Linked DNA regions of Cricetulus griseus. Each later gene encodes a partner of the first gene's protein in a complex. Links are inferred from orthologs where the notes say so. Each region holds a gene or a part of one and is shown in the gene's direction. Other genes may lie near its edges.

The links. Proteins that work in one complex are often made in the same cells at the same time.
Region 2: Ubl4a (region 1) and Get4 share a complex: the UniProt entries of both Homo sapiens proteins name them as parts of the BAG6/BAT3 complex. The link is inferred for Cricetulus griseus from reciprocal best matches to the Homo sapiens genes UBL4A and GET4.

The regions. Positions count from the first base shown.
Region 1 is NC_048604.1:1,347,604-1,351,687, forward strand, and holds the start of Ubl4a (ubiquitin-like protein 4A), read left to right. Parts: upstream 1-1,281; 5' UTR 1,282-1,395; coding exon 1,396-1,443; intron 1,444-1,603; coding exon 1,604-1,709; intron 1,710-1,959; coding exon 1,960-2,168; intron 2,169-2,284; coding exon 2,285-2,359; coding exon of another isoform or gene 2,360-2,395; exon of another isoform or gene 2,396-3,031; coding exon 3,032-3,148; 3' UTR 3,149-4,084. Other genes in the region: Slc10a3 (P3 protein), read left to right, coding at 1-435. UniProt on the Homo sapiens protein: As part of a cytosolic protein quality control complex, the BAG6/BAT3 complex, maintains misfolded and hydrophobic patches-containing proteins in a soluble state and participates in their proper delivery to the endoplasmic reticulum or alternatively can promote their sorting to the proteasome where they undergo degradation.
Region 2 is NC_048597.1:75,910,256-75,914,389, forward strand, and holds the start of Get4 (Golgi to ER traffic protein 4 homolog), read left to right. Parts: upstream 1-1,333; 5' UTR 1,334-1,409; coding exon 1,410-1,567; intron 1,568-4,134. UniProt on the Homo sapiens protein: As part of a cytosolic protein quality control complex, the BAG6/BAT3 complex, maintains misfolded and hydrophobic patches-containing proteins in a soluble state and participates in their proper delivery to the endoplasmic reticulum or alternatively can promote their sorting to the proteasome where they undergo degradation.

The DNA.
Region 1 (4,084 bases):
ATAGCAGCAGGTGTGGTAATCAAGTCTAAGCTCCCTAAGTTCTCAGAGCTGCTGCTACAGGTCATCAAGCCCTTCAGTTTTGTACTTCTCCTGGGTGGCCTATTCCTGGCCTACCACATGGGGGTCTTCATCTTAGTGGGAGTCAGGTTACCCATCGTACTGGTGGGCTTCACAGTGCCCCTGGTTGGCCTTTTGGTGGGCTACAGCCTAGCCATGTGCCTGAAGCTGCCAGTGGCCCAGCGGCGGACAGTCAGCATTGAGGTAGGGGTACAAAACAGCTTGCTAGCTTTAGCTATGCTGCAGCTGTCTCTGCGTCGCCTTCAAGCAGACTATGCCTCTCAGGCCCCCTTCATTGTGGCACTGAGTGGTACCTCCGAGATGCTGGCTTTGGTTATTGGCCAGTTCATCTACAGCAACTTGTTTCCTGTTCCATGAGGACCCTGGATCAAGTTTTATAACCCCAGCCCCCATACTCCATCCACTGTCCCCACAGTTCTGTACCAAAGGCCTTTTGTTCTCATGCACTATGCACTCAGACAAATCCAGGCTTTTTTTTTCCAGCTTTCAGTGCCAAAGAGGCCATGCTGAGTTAGAAATATATTTCAATAAAAGACAAAAGCAAGCTTGGGTCCCTTCCAGTCTTTGTCCCTTGGAGTGTATGGATGGGGATAGGAAGAGTGTGTCTGGGTTGATATGGACCAGGATGGTGAACAGGCTTGGTGACCGTGCACAGAGCCCACTCTCTCCTTCCTCTGTGCTTTGCACATGGTAGACAAGTGTTGTACCTTTGAGCTATATCTCCAGATCTGCAAAGGCTTTTCTCTATCAGAACAGGGCAGGACTCTGTTCTATAATGAGTGAAGAGATAGAGGCCTAGGTCCACTACTTTGGAGCCTCGGCCAGGATATTTTTGCAACCAGACTAGAAAGGAAGAAGTAGAAAGCCATTGGGCTATGGCAGGTAGGACTGGACCATTTCTGTATCTGAGAGACACTACTACATGTTTGCCCTGATGTGGTCCACCAGCAGGGTAGGAATTAACAGGTCAGGCCTTGCATGAGGCTGACATTCTGGTCCTTCCTTTCAAGCCACAGCTCCCCGGTGAAGCAAGCCTGACCCTACAGATTCCTCGCTCCTATCCCAGTGGGCGGAATGGCCCCACTTCCCTGCACCAAAGCCGCTGGAGGCTTGTGGGCCCAGGGCGGTGGACGCTACCCCAGGCTCAGGCAGGCGCAAAGGCCTGGAGGCGGGACCGGGCGGGAGCCACGCGGCGGGCTCGCCCCTTTCACGGCTTCCGGCGGCGGCGGGCGGTTCCGGCGCGCGCCCGGGGCAGCGGCGCGCGGCAGGGGACCATTGGGGTTTACATTGGTCCTAGTGGACGCGGCTGTGGGCATCATGCAGCTGACCGTGAAGGCGCTCCAGGGCCGGGAGTGCAGCCTACAGGTAAGGTTACCCTGCAGGCTGCTACACTCACACACTCCTGCCGCTGGGGCCAATGGCGGGCGGGGGAGGCCAGGAGAGCTAACCTCAGGAGGGGGCACTAGGGCTGCATCGCCCAGGGAATTCGGACTAAGCCCTTGCCTCTCCACCTCGGCCGGATCAGGTGCCGGAGGACGAGCTAGTGTCTACACTGAAGCATCTGGTCTCGGATAAGCTGAACGTCCCTGTGCGCCAGCAACGTCTGCTGTTCAAGGGCAAGGCCCTAACAGGTAACCAGGGAAAGGAGCCATCCAGGGACCCCCCACAGGAAGTAGGAAGTTGGAAGTTGGGGGACGGGATGTACAGGCCAGTGTAATGGATTAGAGCAGTGGCTGCCACTAAACCTTGGAAAAGTAGCTGAGACGCCACCACCCCATAGCCAGATGCTGCAGTGTTTCACTCTAGCTGTCCATGGCAGGATTGCTCTCTGGCCACCCCCACAACAATGAGGAAGGAACCCCACCAATCTCTCTTTGGCAGATGAGAAACGACTGTCAGATTACAACATTGGGCCCAATTCTAAACTCAACCTAGTCGTTAAACCTTTGGAGAAGGTGCTGCTGGAAGAAGGGTCTGCCCACAGACTGGTCGACTCCCCACCCCCACCCCTCTGGCAGCTGATCTCCAAAGTCCTGGCCCGTCACTTCAGTGTAGCAGATACCAGCAGGGTCCTGGAACAACTACAGAGGGTGAGCAGAATAATTCTGGACCTCCAATCTTAATGTTTCTAGCCCCAGCCCCCACCTATTACAGCATACCCCTTCCTGCTTGCACCCCCTGAACCCACCTGGTCTTCTCTTCTCAGGATTATGACAGATCTCTGAGCCGCCTAACACTGGATGACATTGAACGTTTGGCCAGCCGCTTTCTACACCCTGAAGTAACTGAGTCTATGGAAAAAGGGTTCTCCAAATAGCATTTCTGGGAGTGGGGGGAGAAATCCCAGGTCAGGCCACAGCTGCATGTTGCATTAAATGTGTTCTCATGTCGCAGTTTGGCTCATAGTGATAATAATAGCTGGTATGTACCCAGTTCTTGCTAGGTGCTAAGCACTACTCAAAGTACTTGGCCTGAATTCTCTTCTGCCTTCCACAGGACAGTTGAGGCTGCACTGTAGAAACACCTAGCAATGGCTTGGGACAGCCAGAATCCAAGTCTAGCCAGCTGTAGAAGTGCCTCTGTAGGAGAAAGAGTGTGTTGTTTTGAGGGATGGGCCTTAACATTCCCATTTAGCCCACTCAACATACACACTCAAGTGACTCCCTCAGGAAGCCACTAGTCCCTGTCACCTGTCCTCTAGTATGTCTGGCATACCCTTGGCAAATCTCCATAGGAAGCCAAGTGGTAGCCATCCAGAGTCCCTCTGCTGCTGCAGCCAGTGTGCTCTTGATGAATGACAAAGTCAGGGGCTGGAGGATCAGAAAGATACCCTAGCTCCGTTGTATGGCTTAAGTCAAGTTTCTGTGCCACTTAGGTCCCCTACCATTGAGTCTGTTAGTGGTGACCACTCCTCTGACCTGAATAAGTTTCCTTCCCTCTTTCCCGGCTCAAGGTGGGAGTCTGCTATCACCAACTGCAGTGCCATCTTGTGTTCAGTAAGCAAACTGAAGCCAAAAGTGAAGTGGTAGCCAAGCATGGGCCACAGATGGAATATCCTGGGCCTTTGTGACATAGCTCTTCTTGGGGGGACCCTATCTGCTTGGCTCCTCCTGGAAGTCGGTCTCATCCATGAGGGACAGCAGGTGACTCCACAAAGCAGTGTCACAACTAGGATTCTTCCTGGGTCTCCTCACCCAGCGTTCTCCCACAGCATGAGACGGATGCTTCCTCTGCCACCTGTGTACAGGGACTTTCAGTTTGCACACCTTCATTGCTTAAGAAGAAACTCAGGGTGCTGAGGAGGAGATAGAAATGTAAGCTGAAGACAGTGGTTCTTCTTTTCACTGAACCTATGCCTGGGTGCTAAAGGTCATGTAAGTACTAGCTCCTTTGAGGAGGACCCCCTGGGAGCAGTTGAGGCTGGAAGATAGCCACCTGCAGGACATTACTCCTGCCCCTCCACTCTTGCCAAGGAAGCAACTCTGAATGTTGTTGGGACTACACTGGCCTTTCTTGCCCAACGGCCTCCTGCATGGGCTTTGGGCCTTGTGGGACAAATCTTGACTCCCCATAATGGAATGATAAACTAAAGTGAGGCCTGAGGGGATGAGCAGCTGGTAGACCCTGCTCCTCCCTGAGACCTGGGGTACCACATCAGGGACCTGCTTGTGAGCACATATGTGGACTGGCAGCTCAGATAATAAGCTTACCAATGTCCTTGTTCACTTTGAGTCAGGGAATGTATTTGGAAAATTAAATAACACTTAAGGTGCATGTGAGACTTTTTACCAAGACGAACTCTATTAATAAACTAGTCTGCTTTTGGTTTCAAATAATTGGTTTAACAACACAGGAAACTTACTGGCTTACAAAAGTGAAAAAGCCCAGGAGTACTGGCAGTTGATGAACAATTTCACCAAACATCCAGCTTTTTTCCTGCCTCCCTCTGAATTCTCCAGCATCTGCTTCATCCTCACCACTACTTCCAAGGATCAAAGGGTGGCTG
Region 2 (4,134 bases), on another chromosome or scaffold:
GATGAGGGATAGGGTCCCAGTGTGGCTCAGACCACTATGAGGAGCACAGGTTCCAGGAGAACCCATCTGAGAACCCAGTGTATTAGCTCTGCTCGCAGGAGAAGGTTTCCCCAGCAAAGTTGGCTCTGGTCCCCAGGATGAGAACCGAGTGTAACAACTCTCCTTAGCCAGGGGAAGGTTCCCCCCAGCAAAAAATATTACAGCCCTGCTCTGCTCTGCCGAAAGAAGGTCTCACCCAAACCTCATTCAGGAGATTTATTGGGAGAGAAGAATCCAGGATAGTGGCTGTCCTCTGCCACCCTGAACAGCCAGAAGCTGAACAGGCACAGGGTTTATATAAGGCTTCACAGGGGTGGAGTTTTTCCAGGGTAGGGATTGGTCAGATTTCAATCCCTGAGTTTAGTTAGGATGGTTAGATCTCATGCTCAGGGATTGTTTAGTTTTCTGCACAGGTTTAGGGTCAGATTTGGCTCTGATTCCAGGGACAAAGTATGTTTCTTTGGCACTGGTTGCAGAGTCAGGGTACATTTCTTTGGTTCTGGTTGCAGGGCCAAAGTGTGTTTCTTTGGCTCTGCTCTGGGTGTTTCTTTGACAGGACCCTTTTCTCTACACTATCACATGTTCTTTCTTTTTTCTTTTTCTTTCTTCCTTCCCCTTACCCCCATCCAGACAGGATTTCTCTGTATTGCTTTGGAGCCTGCCCTGGAACTCGCTCTGTAGATCAGGCTGGCCTCGAATTTACAGAGATCCGCCTGCCTCTGTCTCCTTAATCCCAGGAGTGCTCGGATTAATGGCGTGCACCACCGCCACCAACGCCAGGCTCTATCTCGTGTTCTAGCCTGAACGTACTGCCCAGTCCGATGTCACTCAGGATAACTGCCGCCTGGAGGAGAGCACTCCTGGACAGGTAGGCGTAAGACAGGTCAAGCGTTCTAAAATGTGTTCACGTGGTCAGGGCAATAGCAGCCACCTAGTGGCAGCGGCCTCTGGCCCAGTTTACTTGCGCAGCCTTTGCAGGCGGTAACACCACCACCACCACCACCACCACCACCACAATGACTGGGGTGTATCCCCGCCCAAGACCTTGGTCCCACCCACTCTCGCGTGACTACTAGCACGTTCCTTCCCGGATGCGTGGTAGCTCGCGGACCCCACCCCGTCCGCTTATTCCCCGCCCATGCTCGGAGGGTCCTTTGCAGACCTGCCGGGGGCGTGGCCTCGCGCGGCTCTGGCGGATTCCGCCACACTCCGCGGCTCCGCCTTTGGTCACGTGTCATCTGTGGAGCGCCCGCCCTCGCGAGGCTCCTCGCGGCCACCGTAGAGGGCGTGCGGTGGCCGCAGGGACGGAAGCCGGGAGGTGCCGCCGACCGCGCCTGCGACAGCGTCAGCTCTGCGCGGAGCGCCGGCCCATGGCGGCGGCGGCGGCGGCGATGGCAGAGCAGGAGGGCGCCCGCAACGGCGCCCGCAACCGCGGTGGCGTCCAGCGCGTGGAGGGCAAGCTGCGTGCCAGCGTCGAGAAGGGCGACTACTACGAGGCGCACCAGATGTACCGGACCCTCTTCTTCAGGTGGGCGCGGGCGGTGGCTTGGCGCCGGGGCCCCGCCTCCGCTGCTGCTCATTGGCTGTGCTGCGGTGCCCCGCATCCTCAGTGGCTCGCGCGGCTGCCTGTCGCGGGTCGGAGCGGGGGCGGCGGGCTTGGACTACTCGGCAGGGCCTCCTCTTCCCTGCCTGCGTTACCCCTCCTCCTCTCTCGGCCTCCCCTTTCTGGGTCTCTGCTTTCCTCATCTCGTTGTCCTTTCCCTGTCCCTCTTTCCCTTTCCCTGGCGTCCTTCCCCAGCCAACTTCTCTGGCTTCCCCTTCCCTGGGCCTCTCTACTCTCTTAGGCCTCCTCACTCCTTATAGGCCTCTCTTCCCGCCATTCCTTCCTTGTAGCCCACCCTCTTCCTTTCCTGGCCTCCCTTTCTCTGGAGCCTCCCGCTGGCAGTCAGGCCCTGTTTCAGGGTAGTTTCTCCCGGTCCTCCTTTCTGTGACCAGTGACTGAAGTGGCACAACCGACTTAAGTGTGGTTAGATGCAGACACGGTGGGCTCCCGTGGCCATCTGCAGGATTGATTCCAGGTTCCTGTCTGTGTGCGTCTGCCTGCTGATAATCCCCACTTAGACCTCATTCCTGACTGCAAGATAGCAGCATTCCTGCTCCATGTCCGTCGTGTGGGTTTAGCCTCCGAGCACCTCATATCTACTCTTTGTTTTAAGCTGCTTTGTTTTAGGTCTATAGTAAAACGAGTGGAAAGTGTTTATATTGTGTCTGCATAGAGGTACATTACCAGTTGCACATTTTCAGCCACCCATCACTGTCGCTGTGCACTGTGGAATTCCTCCCACAATCACCCCCTCCAGCTTGATCCTGGCATGGTGCGTTTGTTCTATGGGCTGAGTGAAGCTGCCATGACAGTGGGTTGACACTACACAGTGGCCTCACTGCCTTGAAGCCCGGTGCAGGGCTGAAGACTCACATTAGTGCTCATAATTGTTTACATTGGAGGACAATTCCCACTTCCTCCCCACGTGCCCAGAGTGAGCCTGGCAGATAGCCAGGAGGACATAGTAGGAAAGGACATGTGATTGAGGCCACATGTGGGAGTTACCAAGCCATCAGGGACCAGCCCTGCAGTATTTCCCTCCATAACACTGCTCCAGGGCCAGCCTTTAATCCCAGTACTTGGGAGGCAGAGGCAGGCAGATCTCTGTGAGTTCGAGGCCAGCCTGGTCTTCAGAGCGAGTGCCAGGACAGGCTCCAAAGCTACACAGAGAAACCCTGTCTCGAAAAACCAAAAAAAAAAAAAAAAAAAAAGCACTGCTCTGTCCAGGGTCTTGGGCAGGTATGGGGTGAGCCCTGGCATCCTTGGTTTCAAAGACTTCCCATTTGCTTTACCTACTGGGTGGCCTGGATTAGGAGCGGGGGGGGGGGGGGGGGGGGGGTCGCTAGTAACTATCAGTTTAAGGAAGACTTTAGTCCTCACTTCTAATTGCAGGTTACCTAAAGGGCAGTCTTGTACTAAACCAGACGCTATAAATACAAACCAGTCTAGCTACATCTGTTTTCATCACAGTGTCCTGAGTACCTTTTCTTTTCTTTTTTGAAAACTCTGTAATTATACTGGGAAGTCACTTGCATTTTCCTTTAGTCAAAAGTCTGTAGCCAGGGATGGTACACATGCCTTTAATCACAGTACTCAGGAGGCAGAGTCAGGCGAATCTGGTAAGTTTTATATGTAGAAGTGTTTACCTAATGACTGATATAGTAACTGGTTTTAGTTTTTATTTTTATTTTATTTTTTTTATTATTTTTGTGCTACTGGGTAAGGAACCTAGGACATCTCACATACTAGGCAAGGGCTCTACCTTTGAGATAACACTACAGTCCTTTCTTTAACTTAGACTTTTGAGGTGATGTACCTTCAACTCACTCTGTAGCCCAGGCAGGCCTAGAATTCTTTTTTTTTTTTTTTGGTTTTTCCAGGCAGGGTTTCTCTGTGGCTTTGGAGGCTGTCCTGGAACTCCTCTGGAGACCAGGCTGGCCTCGAACTCACATAGATCTGCCTGCCTCTGCCTCTCCGAGTGCTGGGATTAAAGGCATGCACCACCAACGCCCGGCTAAGGCCTAGAATTCTTGATCTTCCTTGCTTAGCATCCTAAGTATCTGGGAAGACAGGCCTATGTCATCAGTCCAGCTGAATGGTTAGTTTTTCCTGAGTTGAGCTGTCTCACTGGACAGGACCAGCCAACTGGCCCAAGCAGTTCTTGACTGAACAAACAAAGGAGCAGACACAGCTTTGGATTACATGGTGGGTTCCTCTATGTAGCAGGGCAATCACTGTCTATATACTTCTACCACATTGGGGTATACCCTGTTGTCTTACCTTTTTTGTTGTTGTTGTTGTTTGGTTTCGGTTTTGTTTTTTCAAAACAGGCTTTCTGTGTATAGCTCTGGTTGTCCAGGAACTCCCTCTGAAGACCAGGGTTACCTCGAACTCAGAACTCAGATCCGCCTACCTCTGCTTCCCAGGTGCCGGGATTAAAAGTGTGTGCCACAGAGCTGTCGAGATGGCTCAGTGACTTAGAGCACTGGCTA